Anolis sagrei: one gene and its partners. The protein of the gene in region 3 binds, or shares a complex with, the protein of the main gene of each other region. Links are inferred from orthologs where the notes say so. Each region holds a gene or a part of one and is shown on either strand. Other genes may lie near its edges. The genes, in order: MAP3K20, dual specificity mitogen-activated protein kinase kinase 3-like, AKAP13 and PKN1.

Region 1 (7,559 bases), on a different chromosome or scaffold from region 3:
TATAAATTGAATTTGTTGCATGCCTTCAAGTTGTTTACAATTTATGGTAACCTGTCTATGGTATTTTCTGCTCTTCCAGACAGACCCTATATTCCAGGATCTGATCCCTAGTTTTCTGTTTATCCCAGATTATCTGGCAGTGCAGACTCATATCCAGTTTAAAGCAGAAAACCTGGGATCAGATCCAAGGAAAATGGGATAAAACAAAAACCAAACATTCAGAACTATTCTTACATTATATCATCACATGTGGGGCTTAAAAGCCTGTCTGGAAGGGTCCCTAGTCTCCAGAGTCATGTTCTGACACTCAAACCACAACACCATACTCCTTAATTTTTCTTTTAATATATTTTATTATATCACACAAAATTTAGACTTTTGTTCTCCTGATAGCACAAAATGTTGTTCTCTTAAAGTTTTGTTTGTGACATTGAGAAAGAATGAGAGAAGGTCATGGAGACGAAGGGCTACTACAAGTTGAACATCCTTTACCTGGAAGTCTAAAATCCTGAAAGGTTTTAAGCATGTATTCTTACTATAGGTTGAACATCCCTGATCTAGATGCTCCAAAACCCAAAACTGTCCACATAGGTGGTTGAGATAGTGCCACCTTTGCATTCTGCTGGTTCGGTGCATCTACATTGTAGAATGAATACAGTTTGACATCACTTAGTGCCATGGCTTAGTGCTATGAAATACTGAAAGCTGCATTTTTACAAGGTCTTTAACCTTCTCTACGAAAAAGTGCTAATTACCCACCAGACTACAACTTCCAAGATTCCATCATGTTGAGCCAAGGCAGTTAAAGTGCTGTCAAATCTCAATTCATTCTACAGTGTATATGCACCAAAGGTGCACATAAATGCACATAATATTTGTGTTTAGACTTGAGTTCCATCTCCAAGCTATCTCATGATGTTGCTTTGCTTTTGCTTTAGGCGATCCCTTGTAGCCCGAGGATGATGGTCCTCCAAGACTGGTATGTATAGGCAGATACCTACACAGATATTCCAAAATACGAAAAAAAAAAACCCAATGTCTTTGATCTTATGTATTTTATAGTTTCATCTGAGTGTTTTTATTGTGTTGCTCAATGCCTTGAATTGTGAAAAGAGTTGGGTACAAGCAAAAACAATGAAGATGAAACACAAATGAAATTCATGTTTAGACTTGGGTCCTATCTCCAAACTGTCTCATGCTGTGTGTATCAGAAAATACCTGTATGGGCATTTCAAAATACAACAGCAGCAGCAGCAGCAACAACAACACCCAAACAGTTTTGTTTATACGATCTTTCACCTTCTCTGCCACAGAGTACTCATCCAATTCCTTGTATTGAACCATAGCAGTTAAAGTGTCGTAACCTTTATTAATTATGGCATCCATGGTGTCAGGCATGTAGCCGGGGGGGGGGGGCTCGGGGGGCTTCAGCCCCACCTGAAATTCTCATGGTGGTTCGCGAAAAGGCCTTACTGGTGCATTATTTACACTGTTATGTTTATTCATATCATGATCTGATCACCATACTCAGTATATCCCATATGCATGGGGGTATTGGGGTAATGATACAAAAGGTTTGCTAGGGCAGACCCTCTTTCACTCAGACTCAGCCCCCCCCCAAACTCAGCCCCCCCCCCGAAACCCCCCCTGAAAAAATTTCAGCCCCCCCCCCCCCCCCCGAAACGAAATCCTGGCTACGGGCCTGCAAGGTGTATATGAAACACAAATTAATGTCATGTTTAAGCTTTGGATCCCGTTTGCATGCTATTTGCTGATGTAGGATATCCTCTTCATTCTGGAAAGAAGTGACCAGTAGAGTGCTGCGGTGTTCAGTTCTGGGCCCAGTACTGTCCAACATCTTTATTAATGACTTGGATGAAGGTTTAGAGGGCATGCTTATCAAGTTTGCAGACAACATCAAATTGGGAGAATAGCTAATTGAATTCTGCTCCAGAGGACAGGAGCAGAATTCAAAATGATCTTTACAGATTAGAGAACTGATTGGCACAAACTAACAAAACAATTTTCAACAAGGACAAATGTAAGATACTACACTTAGTTAGAAAAAAAATGTAATGCAAAGATATAGGATGGGTGATACCTGGCTGGACAACAGTCCATGTGAAAAAGATCTTGGAGTCTTCGTGGACAACAAGTTAGATATGAGCCAACAGTGTGATGCAGCAACTAAAAAAGCCAATGCTTTGAGCTGCAAAAAAAGGAGTATAGTGTCTAGAACAGTGGCTTCCAATCTATGGTCCGTGGACTACCAGTGGTCCACAAGAACAAAAATATGGTCTCCGGCCTCGCCATTTCTACACCATTGCCTCCAAACCGCATGACAGTGAGAGCCACTGGTTTCATGAAAACCTCTTATAGTGCTGAGGCAACAGGGATGTTGGGAGGGGAGAGGCAGACTACCCACGAAAAATTACTACTACATTATTACTACATCACCTGTAGATTATTAAATATAATTTTCTATGGGCAAGCAGTTGGCAACTGTTGGATAGCATATGTTCTGTACCAGAAACTAGAGCTGATGTGGTCTATCCAATGCCATTTTCTGAATCAGCACCTCTTTTGGTACTAATGTTGGGGAGTGGTCCCTGATAAAAAAAAAAAAAGGTTGAGGACCACTGGTCTAGATCAAGTTCTGCCAACCTAGCAGTTTGAAAACATGCAATTGTGAGTAGATCAGTAGGTACTGCTCTGGTGGGAAGGTAACAGCGCTCCATGCAGTCATGCTGGCCACATGACCTTGGAGGTGTGTCTACAGACAATGCCGGCTCTTCAGCTTAGGAACGGAGATGAGCACCACCCCCCAGAGTTGGACACGACTGGACTTAATGGCAGGGGAAAATCTTTACCTTAAGGGTTAGGATAAGGTTTAGGGCAGGGGTCTTCAAACTTTTTAAACAGAGGGCCAGGTCACAGTCCCTCAAACTGTTGGAGGGCCAGATTATAATTTGAAAAAAACATGAATGAATTCCTATGCACACTGCACATATCTTATTTGTAATGCAAAACACTTAAAAACAATATAATAATTAAAATGAAGAACATGTTTAACAAATATAAACTTATTAGTATTTGAATGGGAAGTGTGGGCCTGCTTTTGGCTGATGAGATAGGATTCAAGAGAGATATTGACAAGCTGGAATGTGTCCAGAGGAGGGCGACTAAAATGATCAAGGGTCTGGAGAACAAGCCCTATGAGGAGCGGCTTAGGGAACTGGGCATGTTTAGCCTGAAGAAGAGAAGGCTGAGAGGAGATATGATAGCCATGAATAAATATGTGAGAGGAAGACACAGGGAGGAGGGAGCAAGCTTGTTTTCTGCTTCCTTGGAGACTAGGACGCGGAACAATGGCTTCAAACTACAAGAGAGGAGATTCCATCTGAACATTAGGAAGAACTTCCTGACTGTGAGAGCCGTTCAGCAGTGGAACTCTCTGCCCCGGAGTGTGGTGGAGGCTCCTTCTTTGGAAGCTTTTAAGCAGAGGCTGGATGGCCATCTGTCAGGGGTGATTTGAATGCAATATTCCTGCTTCTTGGCAGGGGGTTGGACTGGATGGCCCATGAGGTCTCTTCCAACTCTTTGATTCTATGATTCTATGATTGTTGTTGTTGTTGTGTGCTTCCAAGTCATTTCAGACTTAGGCTGACCCTGAGTGAGGGCCGGGTAAATGACCTTGGAGGGCCATATGCGGTCCCTGGGCCTTAGTTTGAGGACCCCTGGTTTAGGGTTTGGGTTAGGACAAGGATTTGGGTAAGGGGTTAAGCTTAGGCTTATGGTTCAGGTTTAGGGTTTCCCCATTAAAGAACTCTTACATTCCTTCTATTTTTTCTGCCTCCAGCTTGGCTTACACTAGCTAAGTCTCTCTTGCACAAATAGTGCTCCAGAAGGAGTGATGCAGCATCTCCGTAACACTCGGAGTTTCGGACCCAGCTATCATACTATTACCCCAAAACACCTGAAGGGCCAAAGTTCGCCCATGCCTGGTGTACATGATAGACTGAATGACAGCACTTCAATAGCCATGACTCAATGCTAGGGGGTGGTGAGAGTTGGAAGAATCCTAGAGTTGGAAGAGACTTTATGGGCTATCCAGTCCAACCCCCTGCCAAGAAGCAGGAAAATCGCATTCAAAGCACCCCCGACAGATGGCCATCCAGCCTCTGTTTAAGGAGCCTCCTCACACTCCGGGGCAGAGAGTTCCACTGCTGAACAGCTCTCACAGTCAGGAAGTTCTTCCTAATGTCCAGATGGAACCTCCTTTCTTGTAGTTGCATTTTCCCAAGATCTGTCGCCTCCCTTGCCCAAGAGTGCGGGTGCCTCCTCAGACTACAACCCCCATGACTCCATAGCAATGAGCCAGGGGCAGTTCAAGCGGTGGGAACCGCATTAATTCTCCAGTGGAGACACGCGGGGGAGGAAGGGAGGAAGGAGGGAGAGAGGGAGGGAGGGAGGGAGGCGGGCAGGCGGGCGCGGGGTGGTGCTGCTGCTGCGCCTGGCCGCGCCAAGGCTGGCCTCCTTTGACATCCACCGGAAGCGTGGCAGCAACTCCCTCACTCCCACGGAGAGGCACCTCCACGCCCCACGCCGCCCGCCAGAAGAGGGCTGGCTTCCCCGGCTGTGGGGAGCTTCACACTCGCGCCTCTGGCACGGCGGGCACTTCCAGGAAGGTAAGGCTACAAAGTGGCGGGCGCAGAGCTGGGAAGTGTTTCTGTGGGAGAGCGAGAGGGGGCTCTGGGGAGGGCGTGCTTGTGGATATGTGTGTGGGAATGCCCCCCTGGCTCAGCCCCCTTCCCTCGCTCACCAGGGAGGGCCTTTATGTAAGTTTTTGGACAAGTTAAGAGGGACGTTTCCCCTCCTTCGAGCACAAGAGCAGCACACCACCCACACCGCCAAAGTTGTGGCGTCGACTGGGAAAGAAAGGCACTCCACTAGGCCTTGCTGCTGCCGGCAGTTTGGGAATTCAGGTCTACCTGAGCAACCCCGCCCCATCCGAGGCAGAAGCGGGTGATTAAAGACCTGGGCTTCTGGCATTTTTTGTCCCCATGATGCAGCCTCACAGAGAGCTCTCTGGGAATCGTTGCCTTGTTCCTTTTCCCTCTGCTTTCCTATCTTTCCCAAACTCTAGTGCAGTGCTTCTCAACCTTCGTAATGCCACGACCCCTTAATACAGTTCCTCATGTTGTGGTGACCCCCCCCCCCCAACCATAACATATTCGTTGCTACTTCACAACTGTAATTTTGCTACTGTTATGAATCGTCATGTAAATGTCTGAAATGCAGGATGTATTTTCATTCACTGGACCAAATTTGGCATAAATACCTGATATGCCCAAATTTGAATACTGGTTGGGTTGGAAGCATTGGTTTTGTCATTTGGGAGTTGTACTTGCTGGGATTTATAGTTCACCTACAATCACAGAGCATTCTGAACTCCACCAACAATGGAATTGAACTAATCTTGGCACACAGAACTCCCATGAACAGAAAATACTGGAAGGGTTTGATGGGCATTGACATTGAGTTTTGGAGTTGTAGTTCACCTACATCCAGAGAGCACTGAACCAAACTTGGCATGGATACTCAGTATGTCCAAGTGTGAATACTGGTGGTGTTTGGGGGAAATAGACTTTACCATTTGGGAGTTGTAGTTGCTGGGATTTATAGTTCACCTACAATCAAAGAGCATTCTGAACTCCACCAACAATGGAATTGAACCAATCTTGGCACAGAAAACTCCCATGAACAGAAAATACTGGAAGGGTTTGATGGGCATTGAGCTTGAGTTTTGGAGTTGTAATTCACCTACATCCAGAGAGCACTGTGGACTCAAACAATGATGGTTCTGGACCAAACTTGGCATGGATACTCAGTATGTCCAAATGTGAATACTGGTGGAGTTTGGGGAAAACAGACCTTGACATTTGGGAGTTGTAGTTGCTGGGATTTATAGTTCACCTACAATCAAAGAACATTATGAACCCCACCAACGATAGAACTGGGCCAAACTTCCCACACAGAACCCCCATGACCAACAGAAGATACTGTGTTTTCTGATTGTCTTTGGTGACCCCTCTGACACCCCTTTGCGACCCCCCAGGGTTCCCGACCCCCAGGTTGAGAAACACTGCTCCACTGCAGCTCATAGAAGCCCTGATCATTTCCTCAGGCAGGTGAGGTTTCTGGGAGTTGCGGGTCCCAAACACATGGAGAACTAGAGTTTGGGATTACGGCTCAGGGCAGGCATGGACAAACTTCGGCCCTCCCAATGTTTTGGTTCTAGAAAATGGCATTCATAACCATTTGGAGATCATAACCTTTTGGAAAAGCCGTGGTCTTTCAGAGAAGAGCCAAAAACCCATCTGAGTATAATCTTCTCAAGTGGTACACAACCAGAATTTTTTTATCATGTCAGAAAGGACTTGAGAACACACTGCAAGTTGCTTCTGGTGTGAGGCAATTGGCCTTCTACAGAGACATTGCTCAGGGGACTCCTGGATGTGTTACCGTCCTGCTGGGAGGCTCCTCTCATGACAGATGGGAGCTCACACCATCTCACAGATTCAAACCGGCAATCTTCAGATCACCAACTCAAGCTTCAGATCAGCAGTCCAGCCAACACAAGGGTTTAACCCAGTGGTTCTCAACCTATGGGTTCCCAGGTGTTTTGGCCTAGAGCTTCCAGAAATCCCAGCCAGTTTACCAGTTGTTAGGACTTCTGGGAATTGAAGGCCAAAACATCTGGGGACCCACAGGTTGAGAACCACTGGTTTAACCCATTCTGCCACAACCAGATATAGTTATGCAAGTCAATTTGGCTTTCAGTTGTTATTAATAACCTGTTGTTAATCGGAAATGGAATATGCCAGTGCAAGTGTTTTTCAGTTGCCCCAAAATTCATCTACTCTCCCATAAAACAATTTTTTATATAATGCACTCAAGAGACAAAATTGAAGTAGATTTTGTTAAAAATAGCATAACCACATGAAGTTGTGGTTTACTCACAACTTAATGTGTTCAGCATACACAGGTACACAACTTACAAGTCCAGTTGCAGGTATGTTTGAGACAGTTGCTCTGGGCACATGGCATCTTTCTTAAAATCAACAGCAGGCAAATGTTGGTCTGAATATTTCCAAAGTCTAATGGAGTCTGTGCTCTGTGTTCATCTCAGAGCCTAATTAAGTGGTCTGCAGCTGCTCCCACAACTTCTCAAGAAAAACATAGAGCAAGGAAAGAAAGCTGCATATAGAATCATATAGTTGAAAGATGCCTCGTGGGTCATCCAGTCCAATCTCCTGCCACGAAGCAGGAAAATCACGTTCAAAGTACTCCCAACAAATTGCCATCCAGCCTCTGTTTAAAAGCCTCTAAAGAAGGAGCCTCCACCACATTCTGGGGCAGAGAGTTCCACTTCTGAACAGCTCTCACAGTTAGGAAGTTCTTCCTAATGTTCAGGTGGAATCTCCTTTCCTGTAGTTTGAAGTCATTCTTCCATGTCCTAGTCTCCAGGGCAGTAGAAAACAAGCTTGCTCCCTCCT
Region 2 (7,541 bases), on a different chromosome or scaffold from region 3:
ATCTATCTACACACATTAATATAAGGTGTTGGTTTAACTCAGGCACGGGCAAACTTTGTGGGAGTTGTATTTCCAAAACACCTGGAGAGCTGTAGTTTGCCCATGCTTTGCTAGTAAAACCGAATTCCCGCTTTTGGCATGTTTAAAAAGCACGTCCCCAACATGAACACTTTGCAAAGCTCCGGGCTCAAAGGATTCTGGGAGTTGCAACCCCTTGGAAGTAAATAAATTGCTTCTTGAAAGATTCAGGAGGTGGAAATGCTTTGGAAAGCAGTCAACGCCACGCAAGTTTCTACCGTGAAGGTGAGTAAGCAATCACAAACACAAAGCATGACACAACCGCCACACGCCCCGAGAAAGGTGGCCGAGAGAGCCTGACGTCTATGACGCACAACTGCCTTTCTGCAGCTTGCAAAACAGAAAAAAAGAGCACAATTATGTCCCACAGTGAGGCTCAATAGGATGAATCCTTGGGAGTTGTAGTCTGCTGAGGCACCATCCCTCTCTCTTGCAGAGAAGGCGTGCAAAACTTTGCAAAACTTTGCCAAACTTTGCAAAACTTTGCAAATATCCCAGACTCTATCACAGGTATGGGCAAGCTTGGCCCCTCCAGGTGTTTTGGACTTCAACTCCCACCATTCCTAACCATGAACCATATACTATATTGCCATCAGTCACTCGGCATATCCATCACATGTTGGGCTTTTGATCATACCAGAGCATGTTACTAAGAAAGTATGCACGAAGCAAACATTTGGTGCATGCATCATCTCCTAACAACAACGACAAAAGAATGTTTTGCAGCCTTGGTGCAACGTAAGGCAATATTTGGGAAGAACAGGTACCGAAACCGAAGAGAGGAAGTGGAAGAGGAAGCCGCGCCTGGATCTGGCAGGCTTTTTCTAACAATCGTGTCAACCTGGAAGCTTTTGTGGATAATGGGAGTTGCAATCCACTCCCACCTTGGCTTGAAGCCAGCCGTGCCGGCAAGGACCGCCTTTTGTTATGGTGCAAATCCATAATTAAGATCACAACACGGAAGTCAAACTTGTTCTACAAAATGTCATTGTTTAACCATAAGGAGAGCTTTTTCAGCAGTGGAGTCTAGTGGAGGCTTCCTCTTTGGAGGCTGGATGGCCATCTGTCGGGAGGGCTTTGATTGTGCTTTGCCTGCGTGAAGGCAGAAGGAAGTTGGACTAGATGGTCCTTAGGGTCTCTTCCAACTCTAGGATTCTATAATAATAGTTATTATTATTATTATTATTATTATTATTATTATTATTATTATATCCTTGAGTTAGAAGAGAGATGGTCCTTAGGGGTCTCTTCAACTCTAGGATTCTATAATAATAGTTATTATTATTATTAGTAGTAGTAGTATCTAGCAGGGGTTGGATGACCATCTGTCGGGAGGGCTTTGGTAGTGCTTTTCCTACTTGGCAAAGGGTTGGACTAGATGGCCTTTAGGGACCTCTTCCAACCCTAGGATACAATAATAATAATAATAATAATAATAACAACAATTATCGAGCTGGGGCTGGATGGTCATCTGTCGGGAGGGTTTTAATGGTGCTTCTCCTGCCTGGCAAAGAGTTGGACTAGATGACCTTTAGGGGTCTTTTCCAACTCTAGGAACCTTCTATTATTATTATTATTATTATTATTATTATCTAGCAGGGGTTGGATGACCATCTGTAGGGAGGGCTTTGGTAGTGCTTTTCCTACTTGGCAAAGGGTTGGATGGCTTTTAGGGACCTCTTCCAACTCTAGGATACTATAGTAATAATAATGATAATAATAATAACAACAATTGTCTAGCTGTGGCTGGATGGTCATCTGTTGGGAGGGTTTTAATTGTGCTTCTCCTGCCTGGCAAAGAGTTGGACTAGATGACCTTTAGGGGCCTCTTCCAACCCTAGGATACAATAATAATAATAATAATAATAATAATAATAATAATAATAATAATAGTTGTTGTTGTTGTTGTTATCTGGCAGAGGCTGGATGGCCATCTGTTGGGAGGGCTTTGATGGTGCTTCTCCTGCCGGGCAAAGGGTTGGACTAGATGGCCTTTAGGGGCCTCTTCCAACCCTAGGATACTATAATAATAATAATAATAATAATAATAATAATAATAATAGTTGTTGTTGTTATTATTATTATCTGGCAGGGGCTGGATGTCTATCTGCTGGGAGGGCTTTGATGGTGCTTCTCCTACTTAGCCGAGGCGAGTTGGACTAGATGACCTTTAGGGGCCCCTTCCAACTCTTATGATTCCATAACACATAATAATAATAATAATAATAATAATAATAATAATAATAATAACAACAACAACAACAACAACAATAATAATAATAAAGCTGGGGCCAGATGGCCATCTGTCGGGACAGCTTTGGTGGTTCTTTTCTGAGTTGGACAAGATGACCTTTAGGAGTCCATTCCAACTCTTATGATTCCATAACACATAATAATAATAATAATAATAATAACAACAACAACAACAACAATAATAAAGCTGGGGCCAGATGGCCATCTGTTGGGACGGCTTTGGTGGTTCTTTTCCTGCAGGAAGGCAGAGAGGAGTTGGATTAGATGACCTTTAGGGGGTCTCTTCCAACGTTAGGATATAATAATTATAATTATAGTTATTATTATTATTATTATTATTATTATTATCTAGCAAGGGCTGGATGGTCATCTGTCTGGAAGGCTTTGATGGTGCTTCTCCTACCTAGGAGAAGGGAGTTGGCCTAGATGACCTTTAGGGTTCCCTTCCATCTCTTATGATTCTAAATACAAGCAAAATATAGGCTTAAAAACACCACAGCCTTCTTCTAAAGGCTGGGGAGACTGCCAATCCCACCATCCCCTTCCCTGGAAGTTACCTGGCCCTTCTTACCTTTCGGGAGGGACATGTCTGGGAGCGTTCTCCCTTGGCTGGGAGCCGTCCACTCGCAGGTCCTGATCCGCCTTAGATCCAGTTAGATCCCAATAAGAAAACAAGAGGGAAGGAAGGAAGAAAGGCTCTCTCACTCCACCAGCCTCACCTGGGCACTGGCAGGGTGGAAGCCCCAGCACACACCTGGACCCCGCCCACCTGGCCGCACCGCGCTCCCATTGGCTGCCAGGCCCCCCAATGGGCGTGGCCTGTCTGGAATCCTGGGCTACCTGGAAGGAGGTGCCATGGGACCATCGCCCACGTGACCAGAGGGGTGGAGTCGCACCTGGAGGCACGCCCCCTTCCTGCCTACCTGGTGTTTGTTTCTTTCTTTCTTTCCTTGCTTCCTTCTTTTTCTTTCTTTCTCCCTTTCCTACCTTCGTTTTTCTTTCTCTTTCTTTCTTCCTTCCCTCCTTTTTCTCTTTCTCTTTCTTTCTTTCTTTCTTTCTTTCTTTTCTTCCTTCCTTTTTTCTCTTTCTTTCCTTCCTTTTTCTTTTTCTTTCTTTTTTCTTTCTTTCCCTTTTCTCTTTCTTTCTTTGCTTCTTTCTTTTCTTCCTTCCTTTTTATCTTTCTTTCTTTTCTTCCTTTTTCTTTTTCTTTCTTTCTTTTTTCTTGCTTTCTTTTTTTCTCTTTCTCTTTCTTTCTTTCTTTCTTTTCTTCCTTCCTTCCTTTTTTCTTTCTCTTTCTTTGTTTCTCTCTTTCCTTCCTTCCTTCCTTTTTTTTCATTCACTTTCTCTTCTTCCTTTTTTCTTTTTCTTTCCTTCCTTCCTTTTTCTCTTTGTCTTTCTTTGTTTGTTTCTTTCTTCCTTTTCTTCCTATCTTTTATCTCTCTCTTTCTTTATTTCTTCCTTCCTTCTTCTTTTTCTTTCTTTCTTTCCTTTTTTCTCTCTCTTTCTTTCTTCGTTTTCTTCCTTCCTTCCTTTTTTCTCATTCTCTTTCGTTCCTTCCTTTTTCTTTCCTTCCTTCCTTTTTTCTCTTTCTTCTTTCTTTCTTTCTTTTCGTACTTCCTTCCTTCCTTCCTTCTTTCTTTTTTCTTTCTTAATTTCTGTTCTTTTTTCTTTCCTTCCTTCCTTTTTCTTTTTCTGTTCTTTTTCTTTCCTTCCTTTCTTCATTTTTTTCTCTTTTTCTTTCTTTCTTTCCTTCCTTTTTTCTTTTTCCTTCCTTATTCCTTCCTTTTTCTCTTTCTCTTTCTTTGTTTCTTTTCTTCCTTCCTTTCTTTCTTTCTTTTTTTCCTTACATTTTTCTAATTCTCTTTCTTTCCTTCCTTTCTTCTTTTTCTTTCCTTTTCTTCCTTCTCCCTTTTTCTGTTTTCTTTTCTTTTTTCTCCTTCTCTTTCTTTCCTTTCTTCCTTTTCTCTCTCTCTCTCTCTCTTTCTTTCTGATACTCTTTTTCTTTCTTTCTTTCCATTCTTCCTTTGTTAGTTTTTTCTCTTTTTGTCTTCCTTTTTTTCTCTTTCTTTTTTTCATTCAATTTTTTCATTCTTTTTCTTTCTTTCTTTCTTTCCTTCTTCTCTCCATTCTTCCTTTGTTTTTATTTCTCTTCTTCTTTTCTCTCTCTTCCTCCTTCCTTCCTTCCTTCCTTCCTTCCTTCCTTCCCTTTTTGCAGGATTTTCCGGAGGCAGCGCTGATGGAATGGTTCCAGGAGTTGCATGTGACATCTGTAGACAGTCCACGTTTCGCAAGCGTATAGCAGAGTTGGGAGGACAATAGCTTTGTAAACAAGCTCCTTGGTCTCCCTACGGATGTCCCGGTCCTCAAACACTCTCTGCTTCATTCAGAAAAATGCTGCACTTGCAGGAGTTTTTTGGAGGCAAGCACTGATGGAATCGTATTAGGAGTTGCATGTGACGTCTATAGACAGTCCACGTTTCGCAGGCATATAGCAGGGTTGGGAGGACAATAGCTTTATAAACAAGCCCCTTGGTCTCCCTACGGATGTCCCGGTCCTCAAACACTATCTGCTTCATTCAGAAAAATGCTGCACTTGCAGGAGTTTTTTGGGGGCAATGCTGATGGAATCGTACCAGGAGTTGCATGTGACGTCTATAGACACTCCACGTCTCGCAAGCGTATAGCAGGGTTGGGAGGACAATAGCTTTGTAAACAATCACCTTGGTCTCCCTACGGATATCCCGGTCCTCAAACACTCTCTGCTTCATTCAGAAGAATGCTGCACTTGCAGAGCTCAGGCGGTGTTGACGTCTGTAGACAGTCCACGTTTCGCAGGCATATAGCAGGGTTGGGAGGACAATAGCTTTGTAAACAATCACTTTGGTCTCCCTACGGATGTCCTGGTCCTCAAACACTCTCTGCTTCATTCGGAAAAATTCTGCACTTGCAGGAGTTTTTTGGAGGCAATGCTGATGGAATCATTCCAGGAGTTGCATGTGACATCTGTGGACAGTCCACGTTTCGCAGGCATATAGCAGGGTTGGAAGGACAACAGCTTTCAAACAATCACCTTGGTCTCCCTACGGATGTCCCAGTCCTCAAACACTCTCTGCTTCATTCAGAAGAATGCTGCACTTACAGGAGTTTTTTGGAGGCAAGCGCTGATGGAATCATTCCAGGAGTTGCATGTGACCTCTGTAGGCAGTCCACGTCTCGCAGGCGTATAGCAGGGTTGGGAGGACAATAGCTCTATAAACAAACCCCTTGGTATCCCTACGGATGTCCTGGTCCTCAAACACTCTCTGCTTCATTTGGAAAAATACTGCACTTGCAGGAGTTTTTTGGAGGCAAGCGCTGATGGAATCGTACCAGGAGTTGCATGTGACGTCTGTAGACAGTCCACATTTCGCAGGCATTTAGCAGGGTTGGGAGGACAATAGCTTTGTAAACAATCACCTTGGTCTCCCTACGGATGTCCCAGTCCTCAAACACTCTCTGCTTCATTCAGAAGGATGCTGCATTCGCAGAGCTCAGGCGGTGTTGTATTTCAGTCTCAATGTTGACGTCTGTAGACAGTCCACATCTCACAGGCATATAGCAGGGTTGGGAGGACAATAGCTTTGTAAACAAGCTTCTTGGTATCCCTACGGATGTCCCGGTCCTCAAACACTCTCTGCTTCATTCGCAAGAATGCTGCACTTGCAGAGCTTAGGCGGTGTTGTATTTCAGTCTCAATGTTGATGTCTGTAGACAGTCCACGTCTCGCAGGCATATAGCAGGGTTGGGAGGACAATAGCTTTGTAAACAAGCTCCTTGGTCTCCCTACTGATGTCCCGGTCCTCAAACACTCTCTGCTTCATTTGCAAGAATGCTGCACTCGCAGAGCTCAGATGGTGTTGTATTTCGGTGTCGATGTTGATTTTGGTGGAGAGGTGGCTGCCAAGGGAGCGGAAATGGTCAACATTGTCTAATGTTACACCATTAAGCTGTATTTCTGTCATTGGAGAGGGATTTGCCGGTGACTGCTGGAAGAGCACTTTGGTTTTCCCGATGTTCAATGACAGGCTGAGCTTCTCGTAAGCTTCTAAATCATGGCATGGTTCAGATTTCCAGAGAAGTGACTGTGATGGGAGTTGTGATCCAAAACCTGGAGTGCTTCACCTAGGATTGGAATGCCATGCTTAGCTCTGGTCCTTGTGGGCAAAACCGACGAGTTCCTCCTCCGATGGCACATGCCTTGCTCTGCCGATGGAATGTGATTTCGCAAAGGTTCCTGCCCGTGTGTAGGGGGGAATTTGTGGTGCCCTTGACACGCCTTGGCTGTACTGTTTATACAATGCGATTTGCCCTGAAATCGGGAATGAAAAAATCCTGATCTACCCACGGTGTGCCAAAGGATGCGAAGCTATGTTTGGCAGGATAGGTATGTGTTGTCAAAGGCTTCCATAGCCGGAATCACTGGGTTGTTGTGAGTTTTCCAGACTGCCTGGCCATGTTCCAGAAGCATTCTCTCCTGACATTTCGCCCACATCTGTGACAGGCATCCTCAGAGGTTGTGAAGTCTGTTGGTAACTAGGCAAGTGAGGTTCATATAGCTGTGGAATGATGTCCAAGGTGGAGGAAAGAACTCTTGTCTGCTGGAGGCCAGTGGAAATGTTGCAATTGGCCTCCTTTATTAGCATTTAATAGCCTCGTAGCTTCAAAGCCTGGCTGCTTCCTGCCTGGGGGAAATAATAGAATCATAGAGTTGGAAGAGACCTCATGGGCCATCCAGTCCAACCCCATTCTGCCAAGCAACAGATATCCGTTCTCATGAGAACCTGCCAGAAGTACAGACGGAGAGAAACGTGGGAGATGAATTTATTTATTTATTTATTTGTTTACTCAATTTCTACCCCGCCCATATCAGCCCGAAGGTGACTCAGAGTGACATTTGTCTAGGTCAATGTTTGTCTAGGTCAAGGCAACTGGAACTTCAGAGACACTGTATGCAACTTATTTCCAAGGAATTGGAAATAAGGAGAGGAGAAGCAGGTGCGTGAGAAATGATGTTATGGGAGGGTTTGAGGCCTTTTACAGCTTTACAAACAAGCACCTTAGTCTCCCTATGGATGTCCCGATCCTTGAACACTCTCTGCAACTGGGCTCCTTTATTAGCATTTAATAGCCTCGTAGCTTTAAAACCTGGCTGCTTCCTGCCTGGGGAAATA
Region 3 (7,295 bases):
CTCCCATGACCAACACAAAATACTGGAGGTCTTTGGAGGGATTTAGGAGTTGTAGTTCACCTACATCAGTGGTTCTCAACCTGGGGGTCCCCAGACGTTTTTGGCCTACAACTCCCAGAAATCTCAGCTGGTTTATCAGCTGTAAGGATTTCTGGGAGTTGAAGGCCAAAAACATCTGGGGACCCCAAGTTGAGAACTACTGACCTACATCCAAAGCACGCTAATTTGATTACTAGAAGGGTTTGGGGGGAAACTGACCTTCCTTTCTGGGAGTTGTAGTACATTCACAACCAGAGAAACTGTGATCTCCACAGATGATTGACCTGGACCAAACTTGGCACATAGAACCCCCATGACTAACTCAACCTGCTGGAGAGGTTTGAGGGGACTGACTCACCATAGAAACCCCATGACCAGCAAAAATACTGGAGGTCTTTGGGGAAAATTCACCTTGTTTTGGGGGAGTTGTAGTTCACCTACATCCAGAGAGTATTGTGAACCCAAACACCAATGGATTTGGACCAAACTTGCCACACATACCTGATATGCTGAAGTTTGATTACTGGAGGGGTTTGGGGGGAACTAACCTTCCTTTCTGGGAGTTGTAGTTCACCCGCAGCAGAAAAATTGTGACCTCCCCTGAAGATGGACCTGGACAAAACTTGGCACGTAGAACCCGCATGACTAACTCAACCTACTGGAGGGGTCTGAGGGGACTGACTCACCATAGTGGGAGTTGTAGTTTGCCCTACCACCAGAAAGCACACTGAACCCGACTGATGATGCATCTAGAGCAAACTTGCCCTACATAACAAACTTTAAGAACTGATGGAGTTTCTCGAGGTTAACCTGGCATGATGTGAGTTGTGGTTCACCCACAACCATATGCATTTTGTACAATTTAGGGGCTCCCGGTGGCGCAAAGGGTTAAACCTTGTGCCAGTAGGGCTGCTGACCGACAGGCCAGTGGTTCGAATCCGGGGAGAAGAGGTTGAGCTCCCTCTGTGAGCTCCAGCTCTCCATGCGGGAACGTGAGAGAAGCCTTCCACAAGGATGGTAAAACATCAAAAAAACATCCGGGAACGTTGTTGCAGGCGACCAATTCTCACACACCAGAAGCGACTTGTAGTTTCTCAAGTCGCTCCTGACACAAACACACGCATTTATCTCACACCAGAAGTGACTTTTAGTTCCTTTTATATATATATATATATATATATATTCATTTTACCAAAAGTAACATAAAACCACAATACACATACTGAAAAGAAACAGAACCAAATAAAAAGTAAGAGAGGGGGAGAAAAAGAAAAGAAAAAAAATATGAATAAAAATAAAAATAAAATAAAGTTGACTTCCGTTCTTCCTCCTTTCACCCCAATAATAAAGAAAAACTTTCTTCGATAGTCCCAACAAAAATTATAATTTTCCCTCAGTCTTTGTCAAAAATCCTCTTATTTACCATGTTTATTAATATAGTCTTCAAAAACCATCCAATCCATCATTTTTATTCCCTTTCCGTTGCTTGATTTTAGCAGAAATGTCAGTTTATCCAAGTCCTTAATTTACATTATTTTGTCCAACCATTGGGTCTTAGAGGGAAATAACTCCATTTTCCAAAACTTAGCAAAAGTCATTCTCACCACAGTCACAAAAAAGTGAACCATTTATCAACATTTAAATCTTTAAATAACTCAAGTTGCTCCTGACACAAAAGACACAATTTTCTCTCACACCAGAAGTGACTTGTAGTTTCTCAAGTTGCTCCTGACACAAATACACACAATTTTTTTTAAAAAATGACTTTTTCAAATATTCCCAAATAAATAAATAGATCAAATCGACTTTTCCAAATAATCCCAAATAAATAAATAGATGAAATCAACTTTTTCAAATAATCCCAAATAAATAAATAGATAAAATGAACTTTTTCAAATAATCCCAAATAAATAAATAAATAAAATCAACTTTTTCAAATAATCCCAAATAAATAAATAAATAAATAAAATCAACTTTTTCAAATAATCCCAAATAAATAAATAAATAAATAAAATCAACTTTTTTCAAATAATTCCAAATAAATAGATAAATAAAATCAACTTTTTTCAAATAATCCCAAATAAATAAATAGATAAAATCAACTTTTTTCAAATAATCCCAAATAAATAAATAAATAAAATCAACTTTTTCAAATAATCCCAAACTGGTCGTAACTTTGCATAAACCAAACAAAAACTCAACGTAAACAAATAGTACACAACCAACGCAAACCTTGAGAGCACAAAGTCTCAGGACTCTAAACCACTGCCAAATAATCCAGATTGTTTCGAACTGGATTATAGGAGTCTACACTGCCATATAGTCAGATAACCTGGATTTTATATGGCAATGTAGATGGGGGCTAAGGCTGACCACCCACAAGGGTCTGTGTACACCAGGCCTGGGCCTCCTGGTGCTTTGGACTCCAACTCCCATCATTCCTAACTTTGGACTCCAACTCCCATCATTCCTAACAGCCTCAGGCCCTTTCCTTTTGCCCCTCAGCCGCTTAAGCGGCTGAGGGGCAAAAGGAAAGGGCCTGAGGCTGTTAGGAATGATGGGAGTTGGAGTCCAAAGTTAGGAATGATGGGATTTGGAGTCCAAAGCACCTGGAGGGCCCAAGTTAGCCCATACCTGCTCTAACTGACCATACAATGCAATTTCACACTATTTCCAATGCTCACAACTTCAGAAAAGTTTGCAAAACTCAGCCCTTGGAGATGGAAAACCTCCCCACACTTTCCTCCTTCCAAGGCTCTCCTTCCAATGAGAAAAAAGGAACTTTTGGGGACACAAAGGAGAAAAAGAAAAAGGCACTCTTGCTCACCGCCACGCGTGACTCCAGAGACACTGAGGAAAAGGAGAAGGAGGAGGAAGCCAAGGGGGAAATGGCCGCTGGCCCAGGATTCCTCCTCTTCTTCTTCCTCTCCTTTTTCTTCTTCTTCTGCCTGTTGCTCGCCTTGCACCGACGGGGACGCGAGCGCGCGCCCGAGGAGGAGGGAGCGCGCGCTGCCCCCTCCAAACGACGCCTGCGCAGAACAGCGCCTTCCAAACTCGGAAAGAGTGGGGAAACTTTTTTCTTTGGGGCTTCGTTGAGCTCCCACGCTTCGGATCCAGGGGTTCCCGTGAGCGCCACCTACTGAGCGAATGGGAGGAGGACACTTTGCAAACAAAGGGATGCTTAGAGGGTCTGGGCACTAGGAAGTTGAGGCAGTTTGGGACACAGTTTGGGTACATCTATACTGTGGAACTGATGCAGTTTGCACCATTTTGGGTGTATCTGCACTCTGGAATTGATGCAGTTTGGCATCACTTTGGGTGCATCTATATTTTGGAATCAATGCAGTTTGGCACCACTTTGGGTGCATCTATACTGTGAAACTGATGTAATTTGGCACCACTTTGGGTGTATTTATACTTTGGAAGGGATGCAGTTTGGGAGTGCTTTGAGTGCATCTATACCTTGGAATCGATGCAGTTTGGCACCACTTTGGGTGCAACTACACTGTGGAATAGATGCACTTTGGGTGCGTCTATACTGTGGAACTGATGCAATTGGGCACCACTTTGGGTGCATCATTCTACACTGTGAAACCGATGCAGTTCGGCACCACTTTGGGTACATCTGCACTCTGGAATTGATGCAGTTTGGCACCACTTTGGGTGCATCTACACTGTAGAACTGATGCAGTCTGCACCACTTGGGGTGCATCTGCACTGGGGAACTGATGCAGTTTGGCACCACTTTGGGTGCATCTATACTGGGGAACTGATGCAGTTTGACATCACTTTGGGTGCATCTATACTGTGAAACTGATGTAATTTGGCACCACTTTGGGTGTATTTATACTTTGGAATTGATGTAGTTTGGGATTGCTTTGAGTGCATCTATACTTTGGAATCGATGCAGTTTGGCACCACTTTGGGTGCATCTATACTGTAGAACTGATACAGTTTGGCATCACTTTGGTTGCATCTATACTGGGGAACTGATGCAGTTTGGCACCACTTTGGTTGCATCTTATACTGGGGAACTGATGCAGTTTGGCACCACTTTGGGTGTATCTACACTCTGGAATTGATGCAGTTTGGCATCATTCTACACCAGGGGTCCTCAAACTATGGCCCGGGGGCCAGATGCGACCCTCCAAGATAATTTACCCAGCCCTCGCTCAGGGTGAACCTAAGTCTGTGGTGACTCAAAAGCACACAACAACAACAACAATCTTATCTCATCAGCCAAAAGTAGGCCGACACTTCCCACTGAAATACGAATAAGTTTATTTTTGTTAATATTGTTCTTCATGTTAATTAATGTATTGTTTTTTTATAGTTATTTGCACTACAAATAAAATACGTATGTTCATGTTTGTTTTTTCAAATTATAATCTGGCCCTCTGACAGTTTGAGGGACTGTGACCTGGCCCTCTCTTTAAAAAGTTTGAGGACCCCTGTTCTACACTGTGAAATCGATGTAGTTTGGCACCACTTTGGGTGCATCTATACTGTGGAACGGATGCAGTTTGGCACCACTTTGGGTGGATCTACACTGTAGAACTGATGCAGTTTGGTGCCATTTTGGGTGCATCTATAGTGGGGAATTGATGGAGTTTGCACCACTTTGTATGTATCTAGACTATGGAATAAATGCAATTTGGCACCACTTTGGGTGCATCTACACTGAGGAATAGATGCAGTTTGGCACCACTTTGGGTGCATCTATACTGTGGAACTGATGCACTTCGGTAGCACTTTGAGTGCATCTATACCAGGCATGCGCAAACCGGCCCCCCATGTGTTTTGGACTCCAACTCCCACAATCTCCAAGGGGAGGAGCTTGAGGCTGTTAGGAATTGTGGGAATCAGAGTCCAAAACACCTGGAAGGCTGAAGTTTGACCGTGCCTAATCAACACTGGAATCAATGCAGTTTGGTCCCACCTTGGGTGCATGTAGGCTGTGGAATTGATGCAGTTTGGCACCACTTTGGGTACAGCTGTACTGTGGAACTGATGCAGTTTGCACTACTTTGGGTGCATCTTTATTGTGGAATTGATGTAGTTTGACACCACTTTGGGTTACTTTCAAAAATTCAACAACTCCCATGGTTCTATTGAATCCAGCTATGGCACTTAAAGTGGTGTCAAACTGCATTAATTCTACATTGTAGATGCTCCCGCTGTTTGGGCACAGCTGATGCCATGCTATGAGATCAAACCAATAGGAAGAGCAATAGAAAAAAACAGATTTCTTGTCTGTTTAATAGGGAGGTAGAGCTAATTAGAAATAGTTTGAGCCAACTAAATATAGAGATTTTGATTTGGACAGATAAGAACAGATTAAGTAAGAAGAGGGAACTGGAATTCTGAATAGCATATGGGATGCTGAGCGGACAGAAAGAGTTGAAGGAGTTCACTTTGTTCGAGAAGGAGTGTTTCAGCGCACTGTGTGCGGAACCAGCATAAAGCTAGGTGTTTATCTTGGCCGGAATCCAGTATTAGCTTATGCTTAACTAAGGACTTAACTGTTTCATATTCATGGTTGCTACTTTAGGGCACGCCCACACAGGCCAAATGGCTGCAGGTTAATGAGTAAAACCAGAGGTGTATCTATGAGAAGGGGTACAAGGGGGACATTGCTATCTCAAAAAGAATGTGGCCCCAACATTTTCCTGCAGCTCCCACATATCTAACATCAAGAGGCTGGTTCTACATCAGCGTTTCTCAACCTAAAATTTGGGACCGGGGGGGTGGTCTCAAAGGGGTCATCAAAGACCATCAGAAATAACAGTATTTTCTTTTGGTCATGGGGGTTCTGTGTGGGAAGTCTGGCCCAATTCTACCATTGGTGGGGTTCAGAATGCTCTTTGATTGTAGGTGAACTATAAATCCCAGCAATTACAACTCTCCAATGTCAAGGTCTACTTTCCTCAAACTCCACCAGTGTTCATATTTGGGCATATTGATTATTCGTGCCAAGTTTGGTCCAGATACATCATTGTTTGAGTCCACAGTGTGCTCTGGATGTTGGTGAACTACAACTCCAAAACTCAAGGTCAGTGCACACCAAACCCTTCCAGTATTTTCTGTTGGTCGGGGAAGTTCTGTGTGCCAAGTTCCGTTCAATTCCATCACTGGTGGAGTTTGGAATACTCTTTAATTGTACGTGAACTATACATCCCAACAAATACAACTTCCAGATGTCAAGGTCTATTTTCCCAAAGTCCACCATTGTTCACATTTGGGCTTATTTCTTATTCGAGCCAAGTTTGGTCCAGATTGCTCTTTGATTGTAGGTGAACTATAAATCCTAGCAACTACAACTCCCAAATGTCAAGTCTATTTCTCCCAAAATCCACCAGTGTTCACATTTGTGCATATTGAGTATTCATGCCAAGTTTGGTCCAAAGCCATAATTGTTTGAGCCCACAGTGCTCTCTGGATGCAGGTGAACTACAACTCCAAAACTCAAGGTCAACTTTTCCAGTATTTTCTGTTGGTCATGCGAGTTCTGTGTGCCAGGTGTGGTTCAATTGCATCCTTGGTGGAGTTCAGAATGCTCTTTGATTGTAGGTTAACTATAAATCCCAGCAACTACAGCTCCCAAATGACAAAATCAATCCCCCCCAACCCCACCAGTGTTCAAATTTGGGTGTATTGGGTATTTGTGCCAAATTTGGTCCAGTGAATGAAAATACATCCTGCATATCAGATATTTACATTACAATTCATAATAGCTGCAAAATTACAGTTATGAAGTAGCAACGAAAATATTTTTTGTGATTGGGGTCAGCATAACATGAGGAACTGTATTAAGGGTTCACGGCATTAGGAAGGTTGAGAAACACTGTTGAACATTATACAGTCAGTGTAAGATGCATTATATTGTCAGCACAGAACCATATAATGCTGCTCACTCTGCATTATATGGATACACACTAACCATTGTTCAATGCGGTGTAAAACTTAAAGTGAAACCATGAAAGCTACCACACTTAAGAGAAGTCTTCTATAAACATATTTCAGTTAACTAGGACCACATCTACAATGCCATATAATGCTGTTTCGAAGTGCATTATATGGTTAGTGGAAACTCATATAATGGAGTTTTTCTGCATTATATGAGTCTATACCAGGTATGGGCAAACTTGGGCCCTCCAGGTGATTTGGACTCCAACTCCCATCATTCTTAACAGCCTCGGGCCTCTTCCTTAATTGGCTCAGGAGGAAAGGAAGGGGCCTGAGGCTGTTAGGAATTG
Region 4 (8,003 bases), on a different chromosome or scaffold from region 3:
TCAAAAACATGCAAATGTGAGTAGATCAATAGGTATTGCTTCTTCAGGAAAGTAATGGCGCTCCATGCAGTTATGCTGGCCCCATGACCTTAGAAGTGTCTATGGAGAATGCCGGCTCATCAGCTTAGAAATAGAGAGGAGCACCAACCCCTAGAGTCAGACACGACTGGACTTAATGTCAAGGGGAAACCTTTACTTTAACCTTTTCACAACAATGACAGGGATCAATTGTGGGATTCATGAATTAGAAGAGTGTTTCCAAAATTAGAAGTGTGATCATATTATTTTGTAAAGGAAGTAGAGCAATAAAAAATAACAACCATCAAATAGAGAGTGGAAAGTTGTAGTTTGGGATTTTAAAAAGAATAGTTGTTTAATAGCAGTTTAGGTATAGTCGTTGTATAGTTTTTATTTTGCTTGTCAAGAGTCCTCTCTTATTCACCTAGTCCAGGTCCCTTCTTGCCTTTGGAGTCGACTAATTCTCTTTAAATAACACTATGTAACAAAATTTGAAAAAAAATGTTACTGCTTTAAAAGTGTTACTTCTGTTTAATTATTCAGTACTTACTTTGAAAATAGCGGTTATACCCCAGAAACTTCAGTTTTGTGGCTACTACAAACTATGTTGAATTGCTTGAGACTCAGTGAGATATTCATTGAAAAACTAAAAGCTTTTCCCATGTTTTTATGATAGAACCAATTAGGAAATGACATTTATAACTGAGGAGCAAAAATCATGTTACATAGTGTAATAATTTTGAAAATCAACAAGTAGTAGTGTGAAAAATGGGCAGTGGAGAGCATGTGTTCAACTTCCCTTGTATACATCATCTCGACCTTCAGGCAGGGATTCAGTGACTGTCCCAGACACATAGCTTTTCTTTTAAGTCCAAGGCATATGAAAAAAGCACAAGGCAGAGTGGACCAAAGCTTTAGTTTTCTGCTGCATAGTGTCGTCTTCAAATGTGCATCTGCAGCAACAGCAAAATAGATCCCCGCTTTTTCTGGTCTCTGTGTGGTCGTAAGCTCTGCAGTATTATGTTAGGGGCAGTGCTGAAGGAAGTGGCGTGAGTCAGCAACCGCTCCGTTTCCTGCATTGCATCAAGAGGTGTCCAGAGCAAGTACTGAGGCTGTTGAGACTGTGACCTGGACTGATTCCAGGCAGAGTTGAGTGAGGTAGCAGGACATGTACACATCAGACTGCAACAAGGCTGAGCTGAAAGAGCCATACCGGTAGTTCCTTTTATTCCCTGCCATATTTCCATAGGATATTTAAACGTGGCCTATTGGGATGCACCTCAGAAAGGTATCTCTGCTTTACCTTTGTGACAGTAATCCAGAGCTTTCCTTTTACTTAATGGTGTCACATGACTTCAGCAGTTTTTCTGCCACTGCGACCAAGATAGCTGTAAATTCTATATTCACTTTGTAGTATAATTAATTGTTTTTATTAAAACATGCTTAAAGTGAGTGTGATTTTTTAAAGCAGTGACATAGGGCCCCAATCTGGAATGGACTCCTGAACTGGATTGGGGCTCTGGATCAATGCCACATTAAAGATCCATTCCTCCAGCTGCTCTCTGTCTGTGCTGTATTTACCACTGTTGGGGGACGATTTTCACCAGGGAGTTGTGCCACATTCAAGGGCCTGCACAGGGTTTATTTCCTTCCAAATAAGAGCACAGGTGGAGGATAACATATTAGAGTCTCTCATCAGTCCCTTTGGGATATGGAAAGGCACTTCAGAGAGGAAATGAGCCTGTGTTTTTTTTCCTGACACTGTAGGAGGACATCTCATACGTGTCTATTTAATTAAAAAGTATATGTGGTAGTTCCCATCCTTCTATTTTGTCACCATCCCCACCACTATCAAAGCCCATTTGCTAGTAGAATATTTTGAATGATGCATGGTCTTCCTCAAGATCCCAAATCTAGGTGTATTTTTACTTGGGCAAGAGGTGCAGCTACATCTGGGATGCAGATGAGGAATTGGTATTTTATGTAGGCCCATGCTTTGTCTTTTTCTACTGAATAGTCCTTAACAGTGGCCTTTTAAAAAGCCATACAATTTTAAATGTGAACCCATCTTTTTACAATGTTGTTTGGGGGTTGTTATTCTATTGTGAGATTACCCATCAAGAATCAATGTATTGAACTAAACTTTATCCTTGCTCAAAACTGAGCTAGGAGCTTCTATGTTGGAAATTGAAAACTTACAGGGGAAGTTCCTAATGACTTAGTTACAAAGAAGAAGAAGAAGTCATTCTGTACTGCTTCTGCAGAATTGGATTAATGTATATATGTGACTAAGCATCAAGCTATTTTTTGTTTAAAATGTACCCTAAAAACCTGTGTTATCTTATCAATGGGCTTCTGTAGGAGTTGAATTAGGGTGCTTCCAGACATTACAAAAATACGGGTTTAAATGGGAATTAAAAAATGCCAGAACCTGACTGCAGATTCCCACACAGACCTGTTAGTCCTGGTACTGTTTCCCCTGCCTTCTTCACGGCCATCCTCTGTATCAGAACAAGATGGAGAGGGACAGAAGGGTTTTTTAAAAAAATTACTCCATTATGCGCTGGACCGTACATGCAATTATGTGCCCGTGCAAATATCTTAATATAAATATAAGCAGATTTGTATGTGTGTATATGAGGTTTATCACATAACAAAACCCCTTCTGTCAGATTTCTCCCTTCCTCCAATTGTTTTTTCAAGCTCTGTTTAACATTTCAAAGTTTGAAATAAAGAGTTTTAGAGGGTTCTAATTGCTCTCAGTTCATGCTTCCTTTATAGCAGCTGTGTATCCATTTCACAGCTCAATGCACTGATCAGCTGTTTCGGGCTTTTTAAAAGTGGACATGTGAAACAGGGAAGACAGAAAGAAAGTACGTGTTTTTCGCAAGTGCAGGGATATACAGTAATGCGAATATCTGCATTTGCCGGCCAGTATTGGTATAAAAGAGGGCCTTTCTAACCTGTATTTTTAGTCTGTTGCAATGAATCGGTGCTGATTTACATGTAGTCTCATGTAGCCACCCCCTTTTAACCCAGTAAATGCCGTGTTTAAGGTGCTGTGTAGAAGGGCCCTTAGTGGCAGTCTGTTAAGACAAGGCAACAGCCTCAAAGATTGTTAGGCATGGTCAGCTACAGAAGTAAGTGACCAAAAAGGTATCTTGTTTTGCAATACCTTTGTTCTCAGAATGTTTTTCATCTTTTACTAAGTGCCTTTATCTGAATGCTCAAGCAAGTTACAAAGTACTGGTAGCCATTTCATCTGCATAAATTACAATATGACACATCAAGGGGGTTGCATTTCTAAATTTACCATTTAAATAGGAAACCGTGGATTGAACCCTATTAAAATTAATGATTGCCAATGGAACTTACCATGGAGACACCCTAGAGCAATGGTTCTCAACCTGTGGGTCCCCAGGTGTGTTGGCCTACAACTTCCAGAGAACATAGCCAGTTCCCCAGCTGTTAGGATTTCTGGGAGTTGAAGGCAAAAACATCTGGGGATCCACAGGTTGAGAACCACTGCCCTAGAGGATCTAGAAAATTCCTAGAGAGGGCATATTTTGTTGGCGGCAGACAAAACCCCAAGAAGTGGTCCTGCAGATATATGTCGTTTTGTAGTTCCATTACTTGCAGGATATTAAATATCAGCCTTTGCTTATACTGTAACTATGCTCCTGTTCTTACTTTATCTGGCCAGTATTGTAAGGATCTCACTTTCACATATTGTTGGCATTTTTCTTACCATCATCATCAGCACCATCACCACAACTTTTGTTTCTACCCCACACTTTCCTCAAAACCAGCACTCAAGGCAGCTTACAAATGAAAACAAATACAGCATAGCTACAATCTTAAAAAACAACAACAATGTGAAACAAAACTATTAACCACACTAAAAACAATTGAAAAGATGCAATTAAAATGTTAAAAGCAATGCAACAGCAGTACGGTTCAAACAGTACAATGCCCTCTTAAAAGCCCTTCTTTTTGAAACCTTTAATTTTCAAACACCTGCCAGAATAGAAGAGGATTTACCTGCCAACAAAAGGACTGCCAGGAGGGGCCCATTTTAGGAAGGTGAGGGGGGGGGGGGTCAAAAGAAGAGGCTCACTTCAGGATCTCAGGACCTGGACAGGCTCATACGGAAGATACAGTCTGCCAGCTGGCCTGAGTCTAAGGCACCCATCTTCTAGTACTCCTTTTCTCCTGTCTTATAACTAGTAAAGAGAAAAATACATTTCTTCTTCTAACACATTATTCTTTGCTCATTCTCTCTGAATCCAATCCAGTAGAGTACACATCGGCTCACATATCACACACACACCATTTCAGCACTTCTTAACTATCTTGCACTCCTGATCTTCTTCTGGCAAAAAGGTTCTTTGCTTCTCCGGAAATCACTCACACATATACTTGTTTAATACCCCAAATTTTTCAGAACAAAGTTTTTTTTGTTTGCTTGCATGTTTAGTAGTTTTGGCAATAGCCCGCCCCTCTTGTACAGTCTAATGCAATTAAATCTGACACACGTGTTCTGTAAAACCTAGGTTCTGCAATGTAAGTGTTATAAATGGCAGCTTCATCATCATGTCCCAACTATCTGTTACTCTTTTGTGTTACTTCCAGCTGAATGAAGTTCTGGTGGACTCAACAGTTGTACAGTATATTATTATGTTTCGATTGGTCCAAATAAAAGTATTTCCCTTCTGTAATGTTTAGATTTGGTTTCCCCTTTCAAATTCACTCTGGAGGTTGAAGGGATGGCGTTTGGAAAGTCAGCAGGGGGCACATAGGCCCCGTGGTTGCTCCCTTCAGTTAGCCTGGGTTCCGGTATTGCCAGCAAATGCAGGAACTCTGTAAGGAAGTGGTTTGTTTGCACACAGGCCAAAAGAACGGTTTGAATCTACAGGCAGGAAATGAGGGTGTAGCCGGCACGCAGTTGGGAGCAGAAGGGACTGGCGATCGCTGCTGAGCCTCTCCACGGGCCAGGATGTCTTTCTCGGAGCCTGATACAAATTCTGAGCATGAGTTGGAGGTACTGCCTTTTGGAAGGGATTCATAGCAGAGGGCTGTGCTATTAACTGCCCCTCCCTCCCTCTTGAACAGTTGGTGGGGGGGGGGGCAATGTGCAGAAAACAATCTTATGATACATCATAAATCAATACGGCTGTAAAGTGGGCCTGAATCCTAGTCTAAATGGATAATTATATTTGGAGGAATATGTGTGAAATCTGGATGCTTGCATTTAATTCCATTTGTGGTTTTAGAATTGGGTTGCCTTATCAACATGTTGCAACTTACCCTTATGTGCAGTTGTCTGTATACATAGGAGATGCCTGTTCACAATCCCCTGGGCATTGTAGAGAGCAATCAGGAAAAAAAACTACAAGGCATATGCAACAGTAAACAAAGGTAGGCAGCTGTTTTTCCCTACAAGGCATAAGCATGGTAATGATAATGGTAATGGACAGTTTGTTGGACTACACACACACATATAAACACACACGTTTTTCAGTTCCAGCATGGAAAAATGAAGATTGTTGTTGTTGTTGTTACATTGATGGTCTTATTATTTGTTGCTTTTGTGTGCCTTCAAGTTGTTTCTGACATATGGTGACACTAAGGCAAACCTATCAGGGCATTTTCTTGGTGAGATTTGTTCAGCAGAGAGGGAGATGCCATTGCCTTCTCCTTAGGCCAGTGGTTCTCAACTTGTGGGTCTCCAGATGTTTTGGCCTTCAACTCCCAGAAATCCTAACAGCTGATAAACTGGCTAGGATTTCTGGGAGTTGTAGGCCAAAATACCTGGGGACCCACAGGTTGAGAACCACTGCCTTAGGCAGAGAAAGTGTGACTTGGTCATCCAGTAATATTGGACTAGAACCATCAGTCCAATATGCAGACTTCAACCATATTGACTGTCCTGGATTAATTAGACTTTGAAGGCTTACATTTTTTTATTGGTATGTGCTTACATGTATGTCTATTTTAATTGTTGCAAGCTCCCTAAGTTCCAGTAGTGGGATGGGTGAGAAACAAGATATAAATAAACTAACATAATTAATATTTCTCCATTTGCTACTCTCCCCTTTAATTATGTGCCATCCTCCCCTTTAATTAATAGAGTCCACCAAGTGGCATGATGCTGGCAAGACATTCAGCAGAAGCATGGGTAACCACACAGCCCATGGAAGAGGCCTCTGCAGTGGTTGCATGTTGCCCATACAGTATGTAATGCACAAGAAGGAGCACTTCTGGAACATATGTGGGCAACATGCTGTCTGGATCTGCAAAAACAGTGCCTCTCTGTAAATGCTGGAAGCATCAGCAGTGTGAACAGTAGATGATGTGTCTGTGGAGGAAGGGATGTCATGTCATATGAGTTGGGGAAAGGAGACACTGCGTTACTGACTATGAGGCATTTGAGACCCCAAACAAGAGAGCACCCTAGGGCACAGGCCTGTCATCTTGCTTAAGTTACGCCTGTGAAGCGTATGGTGGTATATATGCCGCAGTCATAATTTTCAAAGGACTCTTTTGAAATCCTTAATTTTGTTTGTCCTTGCAGGAACTCTGTTCGTAGTTGCTATTAATACACACTTTACAACTGAAGCCCCTGCATTGGGTTCAGCTTGGGACAAAGACCTACTCAAGTCTCAACAAGGATCTGATAGGTTTAGGCTGTGGCCTTCGTTATATATATTGAAAGCACACTGGGCTGTAAATGAAATATAGCACCGCCTCACTATTATTGCCCAAAGATCTTGGCCACATTCAGACATAGCATCACATCCACTGTGGCAGGAAACAATTTCAGCAAATCTCAGGCTCACATATCCTGGTCTTTTTCTGATATGGTTGTGAGTAGGAGAACCAAAGCTCTTACACCTGGTTTAAATCAACTACATCACAAACTGTGCTTAATGCTAACTACGGTATAAGTTGACTTCTTTAAACAGCGATAGTTCATTCCCACATTCCTGGTATATCAACACATTTCTGGATTAATGTCTTTCTCTGCCCACTCCATCTTTTCCAAAAGGCATATCCATGCAATGGCTGGCAGTCTAAAAGCATTAAATAGTATTCAGCATTTGTATAGTGCCTTATAGTGTTGACATTGTTTTTAAAATATTATGAATTATTCTTATAATGTCTGTACAAGATAGGTAAATATTATTTTATCGAAACTCACATTGGTGGCTGAGATAATAATGGTTTGTCTAAGTCTACCAAGTGGGCCAGGCTGACTGATTTTAAATAAACATAATTCATATATTTTATGTAAATTGTCAAAGGGGGGAACTGTTTAAAACAGTGTCATTAAAACACTAATTTTAAACACTTCACCGTTTTGCAATGAATATAGGAAGTACTCAGCAAAAATGTTTGATCTCAAGTGTGTGGCTCAGCTCTTGGTGAATTAGACATGTGCTCAGCCATCCTTCCTGTGCAGAAGATGTGGAAGTGGGGATGGGTGTGGGAGGAATTATCCAGTTCCCTAAGGGTGGCAGGGGGAGGGAGAGAGGTTGTGGGATGCTTGGTAACTTTGTGGCCTAGGCACAAAGAGAACTCCCCATTTGTCCAAAATGTTGGCGCCATGCTTGGTTTGGGGTAAGAAAGAAGGATTCAGAAACAGATACAACATCATATTTCAGATGAACAGATCTTTTTGCCAGCTTATTCCACTGACCTTCCTTCACATCCAAACACAGAAATCAGAAACTATATTGCATGGATTATCCTGATTTTGGTGTTAAATAATATATCTTTGCATCTGAGATTTTAGTCAGATTCTGTCATAACTGCTATTCTAAGTTCTAGTCTTCGTGTGATTGCTTGACTACAGTTTCCATTCCAATTAATGATTGAGCCAAGGTATTAAAAATACTTAACACTTTCAGTGTTTTCATCACCCACTTCAAAGTTATTTAAATAATCTTTGGCCATTCTTTTAATGTTTTCTCTTAATATTCAGC

What was found.
Region 1: AKAP13 (region 3) and MAP3K20 share a complex: the UniProt entries of both Homo sapiens proteins name them as parts of the signaling complex. The link is inferred for Anolis sagrei from reciprocal best matches to the Homo sapiens genes AKAP13 and MAP3K20.
Region 2: AKAP13 (region 3) and dual specificity mitogen-activated protein kinase kinase 3-like share a complex: the UniProt entries of both Homo sapiens proteins name them as parts of the signaling complex. The link is inferred for Anolis sagrei from reciprocal best matches to the Homo sapiens genes AKAP13 and MAP2K3.
Region 4: AKAP13 (region 3) and PKN1 share a complex: the UniProt entries of both Homo sapiens proteins name them as parts of the signaling complex. The link is inferred for Anolis sagrei from reciprocal best matches to the Homo sapiens genes AKAP13 and PKN1.

What each region holds. Positions count from the first base shown.
Region 1 is NC_090021.1:192,978,701-192,986,259, reverse strand, and holds the start of MAP3K20 (mitogen-activated protein kinase kinase kinase 20), read left to right. Parts: upstream 1-4,501; 5' UTR 4,502-4,688; intron 4,689-7,559. UniProt on the Homo sapiens protein: Stress-activated component of a protein kinase signal transduction cascade that promotes programmed cell death in response to various stress, such as ribosomal stress, osmotic shock and ionizing radiation.
Region 2 is NC_090035.1:3,667,846-3,675,386, reverse strand, and holds the start of dual specificity mitogen-activated protein kinase kinase 3-like, read right to left. Parts: upstream 3,031-7,541; 5' UTR 2,919-3,030; coding exon 2,903-2,918; intron 1-2,902. UniProt on the Homo sapiens protein: Dual specificity kinase. Is activated by cytokines and environmental stress in vivo. Catalyzes the concomitant phosphorylation of a threonine and a tyrosine residue in the MAP kinase p38.
Region 3 is NC_090029.1:22,068,474-22,075,768, forward strand, and holds the start of AKAP13 (A-kinase anchor protein 13), read right to left. Parts: upstream 3,038-7,295; 5' UTR 2,867-3,037; intron 1-2,866. UniProt on the Homo sapiens protein: Scaffold protein that plays an important role in assembling signaling complexes downstream of several types of G protein-coupled receptors.
Region 4 is NC_090022.1:128,247,100-128,255,102, forward strand, and holds the start of PKN1 (serine/threonine-protein kinase N1), read left to right. Parts: upstream 1-4,954; 5' UTR 4,955-5,014; coding exon 5,015-5,059; intron 5,060-8,003. UniProt on the Homo sapiens protein: PKC-related serine/threonine-protein kinase involved in various processes such as regulation of the intermediate filaments of the actin cytoskeleton, cell migration, tumor cell invasion and transcription regulation.